Styela clava: one gene and its partners. The protein of the gene in region 2 purifies or fractionates together with the protein of the main gene of each other region. This does not show direct contact. Links are inferred from orthologs where the notes say so. Each region holds a gene or a part of one and is shown on either strand. Other genes may lie near its edges.

Region 1 (7,968 bases), on a different chromosome or scaffold from region 2:
TCACTATTACCTGATATACCCGAATATATGAGTACACGTTCAGCACAAATGCGAAAAAATAACTCAGTTGCATTTGCTGCAATTGATTCCCTTATTACAAATTTCTGAAACAAAAAACTTACTCAAAAACAGAACTATCATTTTGATCTCCCCAAATTAATATTTCGGACATTGAACGTAATGCTTCGACAATAAGTGCCTTGTTGCCTTCAGTAACAGTGGAATTCTTCGTCAAAATATGATGAAGATATCTGAAAGTGAAAAAAAACTTCCATCTTTTGATTTTATATTCAAGACACAAATTGGCTGATTCACTTATATAATATACCGTGTTTCCCCGAGAATGAAACAATTTTAAGTCTTATTTGAAGGAGCGGAGTTATATTAAAATCATTTTTGAAATTAAGGGTAGGTCTTATTTAGAGCTCGACCGATATATCGGCCAACCGATATATCGGGCCGATATTGCGTGTTTGCCGATATATCATATCGGCCCACTCGGCCGATATATCTTGCCGATATATATCAGCGCTAGTCGCTTTTCCACGTCCTAAAAAATGAGTATTTTTCTCCGGGAAATATCTGCGGCCGAGCGTTTTCTCTTTTTCGCTTCTCTCATTTTGCCTTTCAATAAACAGAGAGTTCTCTTCTATATTTCTCTCTCTTTTATCTCTTCGAGCGGCGCAAAATCCTCGCCTTCGAATATCTTGCGTCCCCAGTCTAGGCTTGCACGTAATCGACAAAAATCAATTCCGTAATTACGGCAAAATCGATTACGTAATGACCCCGTAATTGCGATATTTTTCACACGTTTAAACCTATCATAAAAACCATTTGAATCCACTTCTTTTCCGAATGGGACATTGAAGTTTGGTTTTCATATTACCGACAGTACTACACGCCGGCGACAGATGTTAAAGACAAATACCAAGGAGTGAATTCAAATTAAATTTATTCTGATTTTTATCTTGTTTTATTGTGTTGGCTTTGATTTTCCTTTATCACCTTCGCAAATTAACCGTCCCAATTTCATGCGATCAATTTTATCATTACCGTATTTACCGAAACTGGTATACGGATATATATGAAACGATAGTGGCCTTTCTTCAAAATCGACTTTCGTATTGAATAAAAATTTCGGGTTTTTAGGATATTAATCAACGACAAGCGTATTCTCTCATTTGATTATACCTGCGCCTGCCTCGCGACGAAGACTTGTTATTGCTCCTTTTTTTTACATTATCCGACTTTGCTACCTAGTTAGCATTTTAAAATAATTATTGATGCTGAATTATTGACGATATTCCGATTACCAAGCTTCATTTTATATCAAATCATTTCGCGGCCTAAATGTTTTAAGATTATTTGCGATAAATTTAGATCAAATATTAATTATTTAGCCGGCGATAAATTCTTACCCGCAACTCGTTGTAAATTAATGCTAATAAATTCTATTTTGTTTTTTAATGCGCTGTGATTTGTATTAATAAAAGTGATTGAGTCGGGAAAAGAAAGTAGCCTAGCCTTCTCTCCTTTTGAGCGCTTATAGCGGCGGTAAAATTCGTCTCATGTCTGTTTCAAGGAGAGAAAGAAAAATACGCCTTCCGGAATTACAATCAACTATCACACATTCTTATTTTTCAATATCAGCGCCAAATAAAAAAGATACCAAATCATAAAGACAAAAAAGTCTGTCGGTATTAATTGCGTTACGGTGATAACGCTTATAATAATATCGTTTTGACCGTGAAATCAAACGCTCAAACGGGGTGGCAACGCGTCATGCCGGCTCAAAACGGCTGCGAATACCGGAACTCTAATTTCTTCTACTTGTTAAACTTTCATTTTTTACAATCGACGGAATTGATTGCTTGTAAGGAGCACGTTTCAAACGCGAAAGCGCTCGACCAATAATTACGACTTTACGTAATTTGTAACTTCCCTTCCGTAACTCGAAATAATTCCGTAAATTACGTGCAAGCCTACTCCCACCTACTACTGTATGGATCAAAATGGACTTCTATAAGCTTTTTACTGACTGCCTTTTTTCTGGTGTGCATTAATGTGTGTTCTTATTTGCTGTGAAACTTTTATTAATGATGCAAGCACTGTGTAGGACTGCTTTATTTTTCAACATAAACTTTTAATTGACTGAAACGAAATGTTTCTTTCTATTTGTATTTACTGCTAGTTCAGGTTGTAGATATCGGTATGTCCATATCGGTTATCGGTCACCAGTTGGCCGATATATCGTTATCGGTATCGGTGCCAAAAAGTGATATCGGTCGAGCTCTAGTCTTATTTTCGGGGAAACACGGTGGTACAGATCTAAATACCAAGAATGTCCCAATATTTAGATATATAAAACAAACACATTTGGTAATGAGTGTGTCTGGCATGACGGCATATGAGTAAACTTGTATGTATGTAAGTTTATTCGACGCATAATGGTGAGCAATATAAACATGTTTGTCTAAATAATATGATCCATCGTAAATTGCGTTGGCCGTCACTTGAGCAAAACTCTGTCCTTACAATTACTTTTTTAGTGAGAGATCTTGAACGAAGTTTTTCATAACATCAATTTACAATTCATCATTTGATTACCATGAATTAAGGACACAGTTTTAAGCATTTCTAATTTTGTTTAAAGAGTTTGTTTAAATAATGATGATGGCCGCAATAGGCCAAAAAAGACACATTCAGACATACGTTTGTACATTGTGGTGCATTATGCTAAGGGTTAGAAATATGCTACAGTAGGACGGTAGCTATGTTAGATAACTTACATCAGGCAGTTCTGCAGTTAGAGCATAAGAACATTTTTTGTTTTTTTTTCGGTGAAACATACGCAAACAATGAAACTACAAGGTTTTTAAAAATCATACTTAAGGTGTTCCAAAGAGTGCGGATTCTTTGGAGGTTTCGGTGCCCCCAGCCATCCACGACGCATGGACATAGTGGTGGGTTGACCAGCAGATCCGATGAAGAATTAATGTTAAACTGAACTGTTACTGAATAATAGCATAACCTAAATGCAATTCAAAATAAGGAGTAAAAACTACGAGCAAATACTGAAATATAAATTGCCGAAGCTCAATTTTTAGAAGCAAAAAGAGCGAAATAATGAAATGTTTCAAAGAAATTATCAACGGGTCAACTAACTATTTTACTGGCTTTATAAACGTTATTACATAAAAACTTGGCTCTGACAATAAAGAGACCATACCGGTATCTGATATATACAACGCTAATACTGTAATACCAAGCACGGCCCAGTTAACCCTTATGGCCTGACAAAAACGAGTGTGGGCTGGCGTTCTGACAGTGTTATACGGCAAGTTAAGGCATCCTAAACGCTCACAGATTACGGTACTAAATTACACATATCCACATTTAAATCAGCACCAGAACCTCTCAGAGTCGGCCAACTGATAGCACAAAATGGCTACAATTGCCGGGAAAATGAATCAAAATCAACTGAACGAACAATAATATCTCTAACCAGAGTTGCCAGATATGACGGTAAACAAGCTGAAATTTACCGTCGGATATAAAAAAACAAGAAAATTAAAAACTAAGCTAAGTGCTTGTTCTTTTTATGAATAAAAATGTTGTTATGAATAAACCATACCTGATTTGCACAAATACATCTTGTAAAATAAAAAAATAAACATTATAAAAGCATTACACCAGCAGAAAGCATTACACCAGCAGATACACACATTGTATCTCGATGGCTTCTGATGTTGAAATTCAACAGTTTATCAAAAAGAATTCAACGAGTTGTTTATCACGGAATTAAATGATCATATTATACAGTATATGATTATATAAATTTTAAAAAATTCTACCGTAGAGAGGGACTTTCAATTTAAAGTCAAAATTAGCACACTCGACCGATATCAATATTTCGCGGTAATGATGTTAAATTGAATAATCATATTACATAGTTCTTCTTCTAAAAATTATCAAAAAATGAAAAAATTCTACCGTAGGGAAAGACTTTAAAACGAAACCAGAATCTACCTATGTCTAACGATATCCATATTTCCCGACAACGGTGTTTTGTGTCGAAATACAACATTCAATTGAAAATATTCTAATGATTTGTTTACCATAAAATTAATGTATTATATTATATAGTAAATTATCTTACAAATATCAGAAAATAAAATAATTTTACCGTAGGGAAAGAGTTTATAATAAAACCGGAATCCTACATATGTCTAACGATATCCGTATTTCCCGACAACGGTGTTTGATGTCTAAGAATTTGTTCACCATAAAATAAATGTATTATAATATATAGTGAATTATTTTACAAATATTGAAAAATAAAAAAATTCAACCGTAGGAAAAGACTTTTAAATAAAACCGGAATCTACCTATGTCCAACGATATCCGTATTTCCCGACAACGGTTTTTTACGTCGAAATGCAATATTCTAATAACTTGTTCACCATAAAATTAATGTATTATAATATATAGTAAATTATCTTACAAATATCAAAAAATAAAAAAATCCCACCGTAGGGAAAAACTTTAAAATAAATTACTGTCCGTGTTTTATTCTACATTGTGGATCTCTGTTCTCAGATATGAACTTTATTTAGTCTCGTAAAAGAAGTAGCCTAAAACATGAAACCAGTATGTCGTGTATTTCTTTGAAAGTTACAAAATATAAACCCAATGTCCAATTTCTATCAGCGGTAATGCAGCAGTAGAAGTCTGACTGATATATATAGAATAAGAAAAGTAATCACATGTATTTGTCGGACTGATATTTTTCCGAATAGCGAATCTGTCTGTACATGTTTAAAAGGGTTATTATTGTGTATTTTTGCTTTGAAGTAGCAAAGCATTGTTTTTAATTTTTGTCGGCACGCAAAAAAATTTGTAAAAAAATTTAGCCGATTTTGGCACGCAAGCCGAAAAAGGTACCCACCCCTGTTCTATACCTTGCACAAAATTCACTCCCCCTACGAGGTTCTGGTTGCACCTCTGGTTTCAACCGTTCAAAACTTTGATGTTTGACAAAATTCTCTGAGTAATAAAAGGGTTTTCTGATGGCTCGAAAAGATTACGAATCACTGATTTAAAAGTTGGCTAAATCTTGGCTTCCAAAACTTTTACAGTTCGATCCAAGCCCAGCGCTTCTCTGATTCTATGCAATGTTTTAAAACAGTGGAATTTATACGTTTCATTAGTTTTAATAGTTGTGTTTTGAATCAAAAGTATAAAATTTACATTAGATATTCCGGTAGTACTCTGTGTGTAAAATTCGAGTATTCTGTGCAACCCAAAAACTTCGTTGCTGCGTCTCACCTGCGGTGTCGCAACTTCAGTTTGGGCCAGTTCTGCGCTAAATCGAGTCTTTATCAATTGTTAATATCGGTCTGAGCAATTAAACAGGATTTTCACATGTAACATGCCAAATTCCCTGAAATAGTTGTATTTGTTTGGCTCTAAAGAATGGGTATAGGGCGTTTCAGACTTTTCTGGAGCGCGATAGGACCCCATCTACAAGTCCTAACGAGTGGGTTAACCGACATCTCTTGGGTCCACTTGAAAGCTCGGTAGAATATTCAGACAAATTTTATAGGAAAACTATTTTTTTATACAAATTAGTTTTGATTGTTGAAATATGCAATGTTGTCTATTTTGTTTTGTGGAAAGAAATAAATATTTTTTCATAAAAAATGTTTTTGTTTTTTTTATTTTCGAATTTGACAGTATCTATATCAGAGGGTTTTCAACCTGGGTTTCGCGAACCCCCAGGGGTTCACGAGAAGATTTACGGGGGTACGTGGATGACAGTCGAGTTTTTGTATGTTGCTGTTTTTTAATATCCTTCATTACTACTATGGGAAAACTCGTGCCCATTGAAACTAGACGCCAATTGAAACGTAGATTTGCCCTGATTTTGCGTTGTTGTGATTATGACGCAACAATGTGAAATTTAAGGCTTTGTGTACAAACTGTGAAATCTCTAAAGACAGCGTGCTGCGAGCATTGGACAGGTGATTATGCTTATTGTAACTTGGGAGAGGTTTCAAGAACTCATAAGTGAGGCAGACGAAAAGGGCAATAATATCAACAAGAGGATTCAATTTAGTTACATATGGTCAAAAAGGGGGGGGGGGGGTACTTGACAGAAAAAAAGGTTGAGAACCCCTCATCTATATCGAGATGACAGAGATCAATTTGGGTTATCGTTAAATTACGTATTCCTTCCCAAGTTGAACTGTCCGTATTAGTCAGGGAGAACCACAGAAATTTCTGTAGACGACCCACTTGACATTGATTTGCTCCGTATTGGCGTGAAAGACTGTAGAGAGATGCATCGTACGCGCAATTTACAGCGTGTAATATTTAATGTCTGCGGGAGTATCTTCAAACGAGCATCGCCACACCAATTTCAACACTTTTTGGAGGTGTTTTATAACTTTAGAAATTGTGAACCAGACTTAACACGGTCAGTTTGCAAATAAGATAGAATGAATCTTATTGATGAATCGAATGAGCTTTTATCATATAAATTTGGAATTGTTACGAATGTTAGATTCTTGATTCGGGGGAAATTTTGAAATGTTCAAATTTACAAGTGGTCTATTCTGAGACCCGAATTTGGCATCAACCAAGTAGCATAGGTTGAAGATTTTGCCAAGTTGGGATTTTCCAGTAACGGATTGCATATTAATGCAAATTTGTGTTCCAAACAACCCTAATGGTATGATGTACTACATATTTACTATTGTATTTTTTAATAATAAAATTTATTCCTTCTTGATCGGAAAGACATGTTGTTGTAGTTTGAAAATTGTGAAAATCCATGTTTGCCATCTATGTAAAATTAGTAACCCCGTAGTTTGTGTACAAGGTTAGGATAATAATTTTATTCCGTTCTCAATTCAATTACGAGTTCGGGACTGTCTGTGTTAGCCAAGCAAGTATACCCTCTGCCCATAGGCTTCCGTCCCTTTACACAACTTGATGTAAAGTAGACAAACAAAATTAGGTATAGGTATTACTTATCGATCTTGATCGGTAAGTATGTTGATAGGTATTTGTCTGCATGTTAGACACTTTCGTATGTCACGCAATATCTCACGAAAGAAGGTTGAATCTGCTCCAAATTTTGCATGTGCATTTATCATATCTTGGACCAGATTCCTATTGATTTTGGATTACTTATGTTGTATAATTAGCGAGTTATAAAATATTTAATTAATAATTTTTGTTTCTCCTTATAATTAGCGAGTTATTAATTAATCAATTAGTTTTTTTTTGCGGATGATCGATAAGGATTCGGTCTCCGACCGATATTCAAGTCTGGATATTGGTACACACACTGGAGCGCCGTTGAATTTGACGAAATATGACTTCAACAGCGGATAACACATAGATGCAAAATTTGGTTCACTACATTTCAAATTGTGTGATGAAGAGTGCATATCGTCACGCTAATAACCGAATCGCGTAAGTCATTTTTAGCAGTTTTGAGAAAAACGTAAAAAACTTCCTAATGATATTGTTATGCCATTGAGAGTCAATAATTTGCCATGGTTCAATTTTTTGATCGTAGCCGGATTTAAGGTAATTTGTATGACGCATTTAAGTGACGTCATAATGGCGCACTGTGACTTAGGCAGAAATGTGTCTATGACTTGGGGACGTACGCAATTGTGCAACTTTTCTATATGCACCAGTCCTGAAAACTAAACATTCCAAAATTGAATGTAATTCTGAGTATCTACAATGTCTAATCCCCAAAATAGCTAATCATATTTAATTACATTATTTTTTATGTTTAAAAATATATATTTTATCAATATAACACGTTCTACACACCCACCGAAATAAGACTAAGATTAAATATAAAGAATAAAACAGCAATCCACCCAATATAAAAGCCAACCAAGGTGAATTGGACTCGGACAGTGAATATCACAAGTGCACGTCTTC
Region 2 (6,386 bases):
TTCGGCGAAGGCTTTGCGAGCGAAAAATGAACCATGTCGGGACAATATGGCTAGTGTAGACAGTCTGTGCAACCGATATTGAGGTATTTTTCGAATATTTTTTATTATACCGAAAAAACAACCGGGGCATTGCCCCGGTTGGCCCTATTGACGCGCCGCCACTGCAAATTGGTGTACTGTGCGCATTCACAAATCTTTGCGAATCAAGTGTGCCTTTTGACTAAAGAAAATTTAGCATTGAAATGGTCAATCTCAATATCAACCTAGTATCTGCATATAAAACCAATTATATATTTGGTACCATGAATACCATTTGCAAATTAGCTTGGGTTACACAACTCTCAAATAAAGGGGTAGGCCTACCAATATAGTTTGTCATCTGCTTTCCATTAAAATGAAGGAGTTTATAAATATACTTAAGGAAAATTGATAACGGCACATTATCACTCACTATCAACGAAGTCTGGAAGACTTGTCCGCAAACAGTGAAACACAAGCGAGATGACTTCTGGACTTGACACCAAGCAGTCCTGCCAATAGATGATATCCACATTGCGCGACGTTCCGGATCTTTTGAAAACAGTGGAATATAACTGAAGATCCATTTCGAAAAATACGAAATAACCATTTTCAACAGCCAGACAAAACGGAAACGTATAATCCGACTTGCAACTGACAGGAGCCAAATGGACTTTTTTTTTTTTTGCCGTCCAGTAAACAAAGTCACGTGACCCGTGCAAGTCCTCTATAAACCTGTACTTTATATTCAGATGGGAGTTTGTTAGTCTAAAAGTCATTCGAGGGGGCTTTGCCAGAAAAAGTTTGGAAACACTTGTCCGCAGTTTACATTGATATCGAACAATTCGGGGATTGGGGACTTGCAAATTTCATCCCAAGTTGCAAATTTTACGAGTATTGACACTTACAAATTGATTTACATTTAAAAAAATGTAAAAATTACTTTTGATAAAAAAACAACGTGGCACTTGCAGTTACTAATAGCTAATTTGAGTCTGTGGGTCTATCTCAGTTTTTCTGGGACTAATTTTTTATTTATTTTTCAACTGAACTACTCTCATCGGAAGACATAATGACAATTAGAAAACACTTTATTTACAACTATTTTTTGGAAACAACTGAAAGCTGACAAATAATACGCGAAGCCGCGATAACGAGACATTGTTTACAACCATGTTTGAATCCGGTATCTGTCTGGTGCAACGACTAACATACGGGTCTGGTGAGTGAGTGAAGTCAATTGTTACGTCGTTGTTGACTTTTTGCTAATCAGCATGGTCATTGTTACAAAACCAAAACAAGGAAATCGATGCTTGGTGAAACGTTATCATTCTCTTTAGTGAAACAGCCAAGCTATTTTTCTCGTTGTAACCAAAGTGACGATCGCGATATCAGAAAGATCGCTGGCTTTGATAAATTATGTACATAGTTTTAATATTTCTTTACTAATTAAATACCTAATATCTGACCCCAAAGTTGTTCCGTTTGTAATTAGGTTTGTGCGCCGCTCGGCTGATATACATCTGTAATTTTTCCGCGTTTCTTGTTTTTTTTACATAAATTCCTTAATATCATGGCTCGGCTTACAGGCAAGCTTACGTCTGTACCGGTGTGGGCATGTGTTGTCTAGAACAGAAGTGTGCAACCTTTAATACAGAAGAGCCAGATACTTAACAAAGACTTTCTAGTAGTTGTAGGCAAAAAACATGATTATGTCATTGCTATGGCTCCCTGAACAAATTCAGTGAGAAATTTGCAAGTGGTTTCTTTTCGGAATCCTTTTTTTAAATTTGCTTTGAGGGGCTAGAAGCTAGCAGTTCCAAGTTCGTTTTTCAAGTAGGCTACCGGTATTAGTCCGTCAGAACGGATCAATAGGTGGGTTTCATGACAACCAATTTAGAAAATAACTGTTCACACTAATCTGATGACTAATATCAGAATATGTTGAGTCAAATACTGAAATAGTGCCGTTTTCAAAGCCATGAGTTCTTTAAATGTCAGAAGTGCAGAATGTGGTAAGTTATATTGGTTGGGATGTTTTCAGTAAAAATCGCCAAGATTCATTTGGAAATATTTTCTGACTTTGCTGTCAAATCTGTCTAATTTTAGACTAGATTCAGACAAATTTGACTGAAATGCTGAAACCAAAACTCATTTGAATTTAACTCCTGTTGCCCGTTTTTACTAATTTATTAGAGTGTGCTCTGTACTTTACTTAAATTTCTTGCTTGCTCATCGCTGCATCGGGTGACACATTCGTGAATCTCATTGTTTGCTTCGCGCAAGCTAGCTGTTATTGTCTACCTGTATACAGTACCGGTTAGGGCATTGGCAATGCACAGTTGTACTGTCATAAGCATAGATATTAATATATGAACTTCATAGCATAACAAACCAGAACCAGATTAAACCAAATTAAAAATTCGCTCGATGGGCCGAACACCATTTGAAATTGGCACTTATTCGCAGACTGCATCATTTTTCCTTGTGGCCCGCAGAGTTTGCACACCCCTGGTCCAGTCTGGTGCACATTAGAAGCGCCATAACCTATAATAATTGATGAGCTTATTATCTTCGACGTAGATGCTATTTTGAGTGATCATAGCTACACTTTGATGGGCTATATGACGTGGCGTTTAGTGCAGTAGTGACTTATTTTTTTGGATGACATAGTCAGGTGTTGGTTAGGAATATTATATATGTGAAAATGGTTATGACAAGCCCACTAGAAGTACTTGTGGTATCAAACTACACTAGACCCTTATCTTATGCAAGACTTGTCAGTTATTTAAATTGGTCGATTTGATAATAGGATCGGCTACAAGCCCTAGTCCATTATCCAAGCCCATTATCTAGCATGCATGCATCACAGTACTGTTACTGTGTTATGTCTGTATGTTGTTTACACCAATATCAGAATATGGAGAGGCAGCTGGACATACTGAGGGGATGTTTATGTATCATTATAATGTATGTCCTTAAGTCTGTTGTGAAGTATTTCATACTTGATTCCAAAACCAAATGATTAGACTATTGAAATACTTGCTAAATTAGGTAGCTATATATGATATCGTTAATTTTAATAATTTCTGACAACTGTGGTAAACTAACTAAAACAATCTATCCCAACTCAATATCCATCAGCATATACAACACTTCGGCTGGATTTTTTTAAACACGACCCAATTTTAGTTGGTTAGCGGTTAGCGCATTGTTTCCCAAACTTTTTGAGCTGCGGACCCCTGTTTTAGAATCTAATTTTTGACGGACCCCCCATTCTATGCCGTATCAATTCCTGTGCCTAACCAACGAGGAATGGTAGCGTTTCATATACATCACAATAACACTAACGATAATAAAGTGTTGGATGAGATTGCTTCCGACTGCACAATTTATCAATTGTTTTAGCAATTTATGATAAGCACACGTAAGTCCGACTCGACAGCAAGTCTCTACCTGCATTTTGTCATCGAATTGGTTAAGATGAAAACGCTGCCTCAAACCTGTAGGTTTGTTCTCTAATTGCCCTTTCTGGCAGCAATTTCTTGCGCAACGTTCCAACAAAAATATGCAATGGCTTTAAATCAGTGGTTGAAGATTGATCAGACTCTTAATATAGTCGCGGATCCCCTGTGCAGTCATCATGAACCCCCAGCAGATCCCAGTTTGGGGAACCCTGGGTTAGTGGTTATGATTTATTTTGACCGTCCACTGACATCTCTGGTACAAATCACACTTATAGTGTACAATTTCTTTAAAATTGGTTAGTTTTTTGCAAATTATCTCCCATGGCATTTAATTCAAAAGAATATATAACTCAATTGGTGGGGAAAATAATTCAAGTGCAAGTGCTAACGTTCTGACTTGACTTGATGCTTGGTGAATTGTCAAAAGTCAGCCGAGATGCGCGGTAAGCTCCGAAATCCCCTTTTGAGTTCCACAACATATTTGGCTCGAATTTGTTGGTTGACTACCGAGGTATACATATGTATCCAAATTTTGGATAGATTTGCAATGACTTATAAATAATAAGACAAATAATAAGCCATTGCACAGGGGTATTTTGAGCCACTGGAATGTCTTATTTGACTTCCATTCCACAAATAAGGTTGAAAACCACTGTAGTAAGATGCTGGTATATGTAATGGCGAGCTTAGACCAGATTGTAGTGAGGTTGAAGAGAGTATTCTATGGGAGCTTCTGTGAAACCTCGCTACAACTACCAAAGTGCTCGTCACCTTGTTTTGATGCCGATGCTTAATCCTTTGCATATCCAAAAACACCAATAGTGATAGTGAACCAATAGTGATAGGTCAAACTCCATGTGATCTTTAGTATTATCTATGTGTTCCCTCAGTGATCCCCTTTCTGTTTACATTTTTCTTTTTACCTCTACAGAGCATCAATATAATATAACAATGGACTTATTTTAAACGCCTGCTTTACAAAAGCACTGTCAAAATGGGATTTGATCTGATGAGGTTCAGTGGTAGAGTTGATGAAGAGTTAATGTGTGTGATATGTGGTGGCGTTCTTGAAGATCCTGTGATGGTGGAAGAATGTGAGCATTGTTTCTGCAAATGTTGTATAGAGGCTTGGTTGCAGAGACAACAAACATGTCCTGTAGATCGTAGTCAACTGCAAACCCAACATTTGAAACCTGTTCCAAGGATAATGAGGAATATGTTAGGTCGACTGACTCTGATGTGTGAAAATAGAAAGTATGGTTGTGCCACAATCGTACGTCTTGATCAGTTATTGTCACATCAAACTGAATGTGATTTTAATCCAAAAAAACCTATACAATGTACTCGTGGTTGTGGCGTAGTTGTTCCAAAAGACGAAATGTCTGACCACAATTGTATCAGAGAATTGCGTTGTCTTGTCAACAAACAAAAAATTGAGATCAATGATCTAAATTTGCATAAGGTTGAAGCTAATAAGCAAATATCTGAACTGAAACATGAAGTATCTCTTTTAAAAGAGTACATTAAAGCCTTGAAAATACCAACTAATCCAAGCTTACAAATCATACAGCAACGAATGGAGCAAGATGATGTCATACGGTGGGGCAGTTCACTTACACTTGCGAGGGTCACCCGCTGGGGTGGGGTGATTTCTACTCCAGATGTAGTTTTACAAACAGTTATTAAACGAGCTCTAATTGATACTCAATGCCCATTACACATTGTTAATGATTTGATGGAAAATGCACATGAGAGGAGATGGCCTGTTGGCTTGAGCACTCTAGAAACTAGACAACTCCACCGTCGTCAATACGAGGATTATGTCACAAAAAGAATTCCGGGAAAGCAGGCTATTGTGATTTTGCAATGTGAAAATAATCATATGGGAGACGATATGATTTTACATCCAGGAATTGTTATTATTTTTGCCCATGGTGTTGTGGACGTAACGTAAATATATGTGTTATTATTATTTTTTTCATTGGTCTTGTAGCGTTTTTCGCAATCAATAGTATTTCCAAAACACAGCTTCATTATTATCGGAATGAATTTAGTTCATATTGCTTATTTTCCCAAACGACTCGTAGTTTTTCTGATCACAATAATGTTGTTTTTATCTTGGTTGCAGAGAGTTGCATCTGATCGTTTTGCATCCGTTACGACGCCGTGCCATAGTAATGACGATTAATGTTATTCATTTACTGATTGATTCGTGTTAGCTTTAATGTCTCGCTGACTTTGTTACTTCTAATTTTTGCATCGTTTTAGTCAGTGGTAAGAAAATATATCGATGTTGTTATATTATAGTGTGCGGTTACAAATTATGCAGGGGCGATGTGGACCAAAACAGGTATGTGTGGATGTGGAGTACTATATTTTGAACGGGTGGAGGCTAACTCGCCATGAGGGCTAACTCGCCATGGACCACTCGCCATGCGACGGCGGTTAACGGGTTAGCCTGCAACTGTGCGGAGGCTCTTCTTGTAATGGGAGATGGAAAGGTGGCTGTTTATACTAACAACTTCAATAGTAAAGATAAATATATTAAATTAAATGTGTTTGGTTACAATATCTACTGTGCAAATGGTAACAAAGTGACAAGAAAACGTGCTTATATGTCGGAAGGCACCGTACCGTACGGTACTCGACGCGCAAAGGATGTCTCAACTTATCATTTTCATCTAAGCATGCTAAATATATCATCATATTAATTGATTGTATGAGCACTGAATCAACAACAACGCTAAATATATCAAAAGTTCTATTTTGCTACCGGCAGTCTCATTTTATTCCAACAGCCGTTGATTGCGATCAGAGAGGGAGAGAGAGAGCTAACTCGCCATGTCTATTTTCTTTATAATTGACGATTGACAACGCGTGTTCGAGAGAGAGAGAGGGCTA
Region 3 (6,958 bases), on a different chromosome or scaffold from region 2:
TTATTAAACAGTACTTTTTTCAGATCAGCAATGATAATTTCATTATTCGTAAGTAAGCCTTCAAAAATACTGAAAATGTTTTTCGTTTTGAAGTTTGATTCTTTTTCCTCCACAGCAGTAGCGAAGATGTTTTCTAAGATGGTGCAGCATCTTTTTTGATATTCTTCATTAAATATTTGCACACATATGATAAAAAAATGTTCTAGACATTCAGATGTATCCATTCCATCTTGTGTATATTTTTCTATTGCAGTTTTCCACAAATCAAATAGAGTATTCTGTTGTAAGCGAAGGTGATCATAGGCTGGATCGGCTTCTGCGTTATCCTTGTAATTATATTCCAATAATGCAGTTAAAACTTGCAGTTTCTCCAAATATTTCTCCTCAAATCTGAATTGGTCTTGTTTCAATAATCTATTCAAACTATCTGAAAGGTCCAATGTGATTTTTTCCACTGACAAATCTGATACAGCACTCAGCAAAGGAAGTATATTCCGAATTGAATTCGACATTTTATACAATTCTAGTTATCAACAACTCTGAGTACCTAATAAAATTCAAAATTAAGAAACTCAATGAGAATGATAGTGGGTAATTCAAGTGGTATTTGTACTGTATAACATGAACACAAATGGTGGAAATTAAAATTAAGGGAACGCAAAAATGTATTTTCAAGCAACATATAGCCAAAAGTTATCCTCGAACCTAAGCCAGGGCCACATCAACCTATTTGCATGCAAATAACAGAACAACAAAAACGCCAAAAGATGCCAAGGTATCAGTAAATATCAATCAGTATTATAGCACAATAAATAAACAATAGTTACAGCCAAATATACAAGTTGAATTTCCATATATTTGAAACATAATTATTATATAGAATATCCACAATATCTATGTCAAATGCCTATTTGTTACGATATTAAAATCTAATCACTGAATGTATGAAAATTAGTCGTGACAAATGAAACAGTACACAAATGCGTTATCCTAGTGAATTTCTCGGGCTATTTCAAGACAATCTATCAAGAAAATTTTTAAAATCAACAATATGTTCACTTTCCAAACCCTGGAATTTGGTTATCTCTTGATTCTGTCCAAGCCTTCGCCATTGTTCGTTTGAAGTCATCGTCTCCTTCGTCGTACATTTTTTTCATCATATCCATAATTCCTTTTCCTGGATCTTGGTCTTTATCAAAACTTGATGGTGGTTTTACTTTTTCCTCTATTTCTTTTTTCTCTTTTTCTGACAAAGTATCCCATTTTGTGGGATTAGTCTTTTTTAACATTATCACAACTTCATCCTTCTTTATTCTGACACTTTCATTTTCAACACCGTGGAGCAATTTCGGCAAAGTGAGTTGATGATTTGCATTGTTTAAATTTTTTATCATAAGCATATGATGATGGCCGTCGTAAATTATGGTCACATTTTCTTTTGGTATATCCTGTACTCCCTTCAATCCAGATACGTAAATTTTTATGAACTTTTCTGATTGATCCCAACCATAAGTAGTGATCTTCTTGGTGAAAAGCTTAGGTTTTGTGGATGAATTAGATTGTCGTTGGACGTCTTCGGTATTGCTACCCTGCTTCATTATTTTTTCCAGTTCTTGTTCCATTTCGGATTTCCATATTGCAAGTTTTCCTTTTATTGTCTCTCTCTGTGCGATAGACTGAAGCCGGATAACATCCTCCAGGTCTAGTTTCAGTTCATTTAGGCGAGCCTCCATTTCCCTACGATTATATACATACAGTCAAAATATATATTACGAGTTGGGACAGTTACAACCCGCGCAAGTGCGAAAGCGTACAATGTAGTCAAACACACGTGCGATGTACGGGGAATTCCCTGATCGCTCTTTCGGTCAATATACCGTATTTGCTCATTTTGTACCCCGTGCCCATATGTTTCAACCAACTCACTAACCGGGCCCTCATTCAAGCACGGGCGCTTGTTATTTTCGATCGTTACAAATAACTAATATATTATTATTTCCAGTTTTCAAGTATGATTTAAACAAGAATAACGAAAATTTTGACTTTTTCTACGCACCGCAGGTACAAATCCGCAAAAGAAGAAAAGTTTTGCCACGCCCTATCAATATTGAAACGACGCACTTGTCGCGACGCCCAGTTTGAGAACCATAGTGTTACGTAACCAATGCTATCTGTTATGTACTTGGACGCCTAAGGCGTGAGTGTTATCTACCGGCGCTTAAAATCCAACAGTGTTGAGACAAAAGCGCTTCTTATTTCCTATTGTTCTCTACTACTGAAAATTCAGCTTCGGCCCTTCAAGCACCCGCCCTTATTTATTTTTATGTTCTGTTCACACGGGTGGCTTTTCAAAAGGGCCCTTAATCAAGATCGGGCGGTAAAACGAGCATATACGGTAATCGCAGGAACTACGATTTAATATACTGTGGTTTTTGCAGTCGATACAAAAATCTGTGCAATTTAGATAAAAATAAGATAGATAAGTTTATTTCGACTCCATAATCAGCATAAACGGTTGATAAAAACAAATAAATAAAAATTGATTATGAAATTTAGAGAGTTGTTTTTAGCACACGTGCATAAATTATTTTGACGCCTATTTTTTTCACACTTTGCCCAACCCAAGAACTGATTTGGGGACTGGAAGTTGATCCATCAATTTAACCCACAAAACACAACCATCAAGAACCCATCCATGGCCAATAACTAGGTGGGAGAATGAGTGGCCTTGGTTCTAGGCAACCTTGATGAAGTCTTGCCTGGTAATTTGCCCCCAGAACATGCTTCTTCACTGAATCATTGCTGGGTGGAAGAGTATAATCTATATTCTATATGTTTGCTAGTTTTGAAAAGACGTGTATCATTTACATTTTTTATATCCTCTCCATACACTGAACAAACAAATTCCTCAGTTTTATTTATTAATGCTTCGTTAATCTCAAAATATCGTCATAGTTGAAAAAATATATGATAGGATAAGTTTATTTCGACTCCATAATCAGGATAAAGGCGATGAAACGGTAGATAAAAACAAATAAATAAAAACTGATTATGAAATCAGGAAAGTAAACAAAATCTTGGATAAATGAATTGAAAAACTCAATGGTCCGGTTACCATTCCAAATCGGGTATGGGATTTGTTATATTGTTTGTTTTCGGAAGCATGGACTCGGTGGTGGAAGAAGCCGTAACCGAGCAGCGGTTACGTGAACCACCCAACGACGGCGAGGAGTCCAGCAATCCCTGCATGGGATTCGAACCTGCTAACCCACACAGAGTAATTAGAGGTGCGGTGGCGAGCGTAATCCTAACGCTTAGCCCGTTAAGCCACACCGCCGCGCCAAATCCGCTCATTGTGGCAAATAAATTAGCACTACTTAAACGGCAAACTCCTAATACGGAATAAATTGTAAACAGCCGACTGACTGGCAATGATTCGAAATAATAAACGAACAAAAACGAGAGAAAAAGAAAAGGCCGATAACAGACTTAGTTTACGCCGACATGCCCATTCCTGCCCACGAACAGATGGTGAAATCGCCTTGAAAGGAGTAATTGGACACGTAGTGGACATAACGATCGTTTCAATATTATGTTGTTGTTGTTGTTCTTGTTTTTTGACACGTTTTTAAAAAGTCGCTTTTTTCCTCGAATACTGGACCAATTGCTTTGAAATTTTCAGTGGTTGAAGATAAAAATTTTCTCCAGAAGGCTATTACTTTTTTTTTCTCGCTATGACGTCATCAAAATTATGTGACTCCACGTGTCCATATATTTGAGCATAGCTCTCTTGTTTCATAAACGGTCATTCGACAAAGTGCAATGACCGATATATCTCGAGATAACCCCGGGTCAAATATATATGAAGTAAAACAAAGAAACTTCGTCTGTAACAAAGTTATTTGCAACTGTTATCTTCTCATATACCTTTACGCTTTTCTTCAAGACCTTTTGTTCGATCCATTTTATTCTCACAGGTAGGCCTATAGCGCTAATAGAAGCAGGGATTAGACATTTGCCGGGGAACATTGCCGTTTTCTTTTGTAGTAAAGTATCTAAAATAGGGAAGAAAATCATTTTTGGAACAGCATGAGTGTAAAATACCAATAAATACTGACTAATACTTCTCATACATAGTGCATTTTATCTGATGTACTACAGTCCAGCAGCGTTTGCATACTGGACTATATCTACACTGAATCTCGATATATCACAGTCTGAAATGCCCTATGGCCTATAGAGTAGATTATATTTTAAAACATCAATTGTCGGTCTATAATTTGATTTCTCACCTCTCATTCGCTTCCAATGCTACCTTTCTTTCTCCGGCATAACTTATCATTACTTCCCAATCCCAGGTTCTTGTCGACTCTGTGGATTTAGACCAACTGACATCAGTAGAATTGATTATTACACCTCTTTCACACAAACGTACACTACAGAAACAGCCATTATTTTCTGAATCAAATATTCCGTAGCCTATATAGTAGTATAAGTCTGCTGAATAGTCAAGAAACGTTATTAAATTTATCATAAACCTTTCATACAAGCATGAAAATATCGTTGTTTGTGACATATTGTAGGCATAGCTTATCTTGGGAGTTATCGTACCGTACCTATTTAACAACGTTTATGAGCTAGTGCTCAACTAAAATTGCTATTTATGGTAAGGATAGGCCTATACAAATGTTTAATAGCTTATTAGACTTTTTAACATCTTCTTAGAATAACTCAACTAATATTAACTGGAAATAACAATGGAAAGGCTGCCCAACTCAACAGCGAGCAGCACATCTGATATTTATCCGACGGGGATCCACCTACAGCTGACCAATTTTAATTGTTACGTCATGCAGAAGTCTGCGTTCATTGGCCCATGATACCAGAAAAGCAGAGAATACCGTATATGACAGATGGTAACACATATTTATTGAAGTAAAAGCGTCTTTTCCGTAAAACGTGCAACTCTTGGAAATGGGAAGTCATTATTTGTTACTAAATTTCTAAGGAACATTTTAAAATCTTTTTCAGGAAGTTCCTTATGTGCGCTACGAAACTGAAAGATAAACGGCCTCGTCTCGCGGCCTAATAGCGTCTCATCGTGGTTAGCTGTGTTTGGGTTAAATAAATTGGCAGTTACTAATTTTAAAAATCTCAAAGATGATTCAAAACACAGTGCGTTTTAAATATTTGCAGTATTAGTATTTATTCGGGGTTCCTATTAGGCCGCGATCGCAAACGCCAGTCGTCACGTTCTGGGGTGAAATCTGGGGTAAATATACATGCGCCAGTTTACCCACATTGAACACACGAACATATATTCAAAAGAAGAGAGCTGTGCTCAAAAATATGGACATGTCACAAGGTGTCGCTTTTTTTATTCTGACACATAAAAAACAAATCTCTTGAAGTCCGCAGAAATTTTTGAATTAAGTAAAAGTGATAGCCTTCCGACAAAAAAATCAATCTTTAACCACTGAAAATTTCAATGCAATTGGTCCTGTATTCGAAGAGAAAAGCGATTTCATCATGACGAAAGAAAAGAAAACTACAAATAAGAACAACAACATAATATTAAAACGATCGTTATGTACACAAAAGTGTCAAAAAAAAAAAAAAGACAAAAACATAAAACGCTATCGTTCGGGCGCCAAACTAGTGTAACATAAACACTCGGTGGGCCCTAACTAATAAATACACTTTGACAGGTTGGAATGCATGGCTATGGTATGTGTATCACAACAGTGCTTTTCCCAAAAGAATATGAAAAAAAAACACTCGTTGACGTATGGTTTGAACATTTGACTGATTTATCTTGGTACTACTTACTTTTGGTGTGTTAACGTATGGTTCACTGCATCGCGATTATTGGCTGATTAATTGATTACTTCTTGTTATGGTTAACTGTTTAGGGCTTTAGTCTGTCTTTAGATTTATTCTCAAAAGCTTGTTAATGGTACTATAGTCATTGGGTATGAATAATCTATTTCTTAAGTTTCTTACATTGGGATAATCTGTTCTGACAAAGCCTCATTTAAATGTAAGTGAATTGGTATATTCTTGCTTTGTATTGTGCCGGGTTGCCTGTACTCATTTTAATATAAATCTTTGTTTGTCAGGTCACTTTGTCTTACTGATATCTGGATTAAATCACTTTGGGAGAAATATATTCGTTTCATTTCGGGATATTAGTTAAAGAAACATAGTAGGCAAGGGTGATTTGTCAATGGGCAGAAATCCAAACTAGTGACATTTAAAGATATTGCACCTACACCTACAAACTGGAGTCTGAATCAAGCAGTTCTTTTTCAACCTTCCGAGGATTCAGCAATACATCAAAGCAAGAATGCCAACTAACAATGGCAGAATATTTTCAAGGTCAGAATTTCAAATAACTCAAGAGTAAGTTTCCGGTACTCAAAGTAAAATTGGAAAGAATTTTAACACCATTGAGCACTCTCTGGAAAGAAGAGATTTTAAAAAGGTCAAAATACTGTTTCATGATGCTAACGATAAAATAGCATTTTTGGTCTGTCTAATTGATACTTTGGAATTGGCTCTAATTGAAGAAGACAGTACTACACAAAGTGAGGAAAAACCCGGTATATCCAAATTTAGTGAAGAAATTTTAAGTGTGGAAAACAAGATTGCAATCGATTTTGAGAAATATGAAGACAAACTAGATATAAAGCCGGTGATATCATCTCTTGTAATCACTCAAAACAATTATAATAATGATCCTCATATGATTAAGTTATGTGGTATGGATCCGCCATGCTGGAACGGACAAAAAGTAGACTTTTATACCTGGAAAGAACGTTTTACACATATAATGCACCATGCTAGAATTACGGATGATTTAGTGCAAATTTCATGGCTTTTACGCAATGGTGCAATGCCAAACGATTATCAAACAATGATATGTGACTGTAAATCAATTTCAAGTGCATGGGAACGC

Evidence for each region. The genes of interacting proteins can lie anywhere in the genome.
Region 1: the proteins of E3 ubiquitin-protein ligase NRDP1-like (region 2) and protein CLEC16A-like purify together in Homo sapiens (affinity purification with mass spectrometry; 3 studies listed by BioGRID and IntAct, with this or other methods). This does not show direct contact. The link is inferred for Styela clava from reciprocal best matches to the Homo sapiens genes RNF41 and CLEC16A.
Region 3: the proteins of E3 ubiquitin-protein ligase NRDP1-like (region 2) and calcyclin-binding protein-like purify together in Homo sapiens (affinity purification with mass spectrometry; 4 studies listed by BioGRID and IntAct, with this or other methods). This does not show direct contact. The link is inferred for Styela clava from reciprocal best matches to the Homo sapiens genes RNF41 and CACYBP.

What each region holds. Positions count from the first base shown.
Region 1 is NC_135262.1:3,769,959-3,777,926, reverse strand, and holds the start of protein CLEC16A-like, read right to left. Parts: upstream 3,048-7,968; 5' UTR 2,960-3,047; coding exon 2,889-2,959; intron 252-2,888; coding exon 123-251; intron 1-122. UniProt on the Homo sapiens protein: Regulator of mitophagy through the upstream regulation of the RNF41/NRDP1-PRKN pathway. Mitophagy is a selective form of autophagy necessary for mitochondrial quality control.
Region 2 is NC_135254.1:24,427,092-24,433,477, reverse strand, and holds E3 ubiquitin-protein ligase NRDP1-like, read left to right. Parts: upstream 1-4,398; 5' UTR 4,399-4,479; coding exon 4,480-5,439; 3' UTR 5,440-5,789; downstream 5,790-6,386. UniProt on the Homo sapiens protein: Acts as E3 ubiquitin-protein ligase and regulates the degradation of target proteins. Polyubiquitinates MYD88. Negatively regulates MYD88-dependent production of pro-inflammatory cytokines.
Region 3 is NC_135253.1:9,314,069-9,321,026, reverse strand, and holds calcyclin-binding protein-like, read right to left. Parts: upstream 2,319-6,958; 5' UTR 1,734-2,318; coding exon 1,056-1,733; 3' UTR 548-1,055; downstream 1-547. Other genes in the region: tRNA (guanosine(18)-2'-O)-methyltransferase TARBP1-like, read right to left, coding at 1-512. UniProt on the Homo sapiens protein: May be involved in calcium-dependent ubiquitination and subsequent proteasomal degradation of target proteins. Probably serves as a molecular bridge in ubiquitin E3 complexes. Participates in the ubiquitin-mediated degradation of beta-catenin (CTNNB1).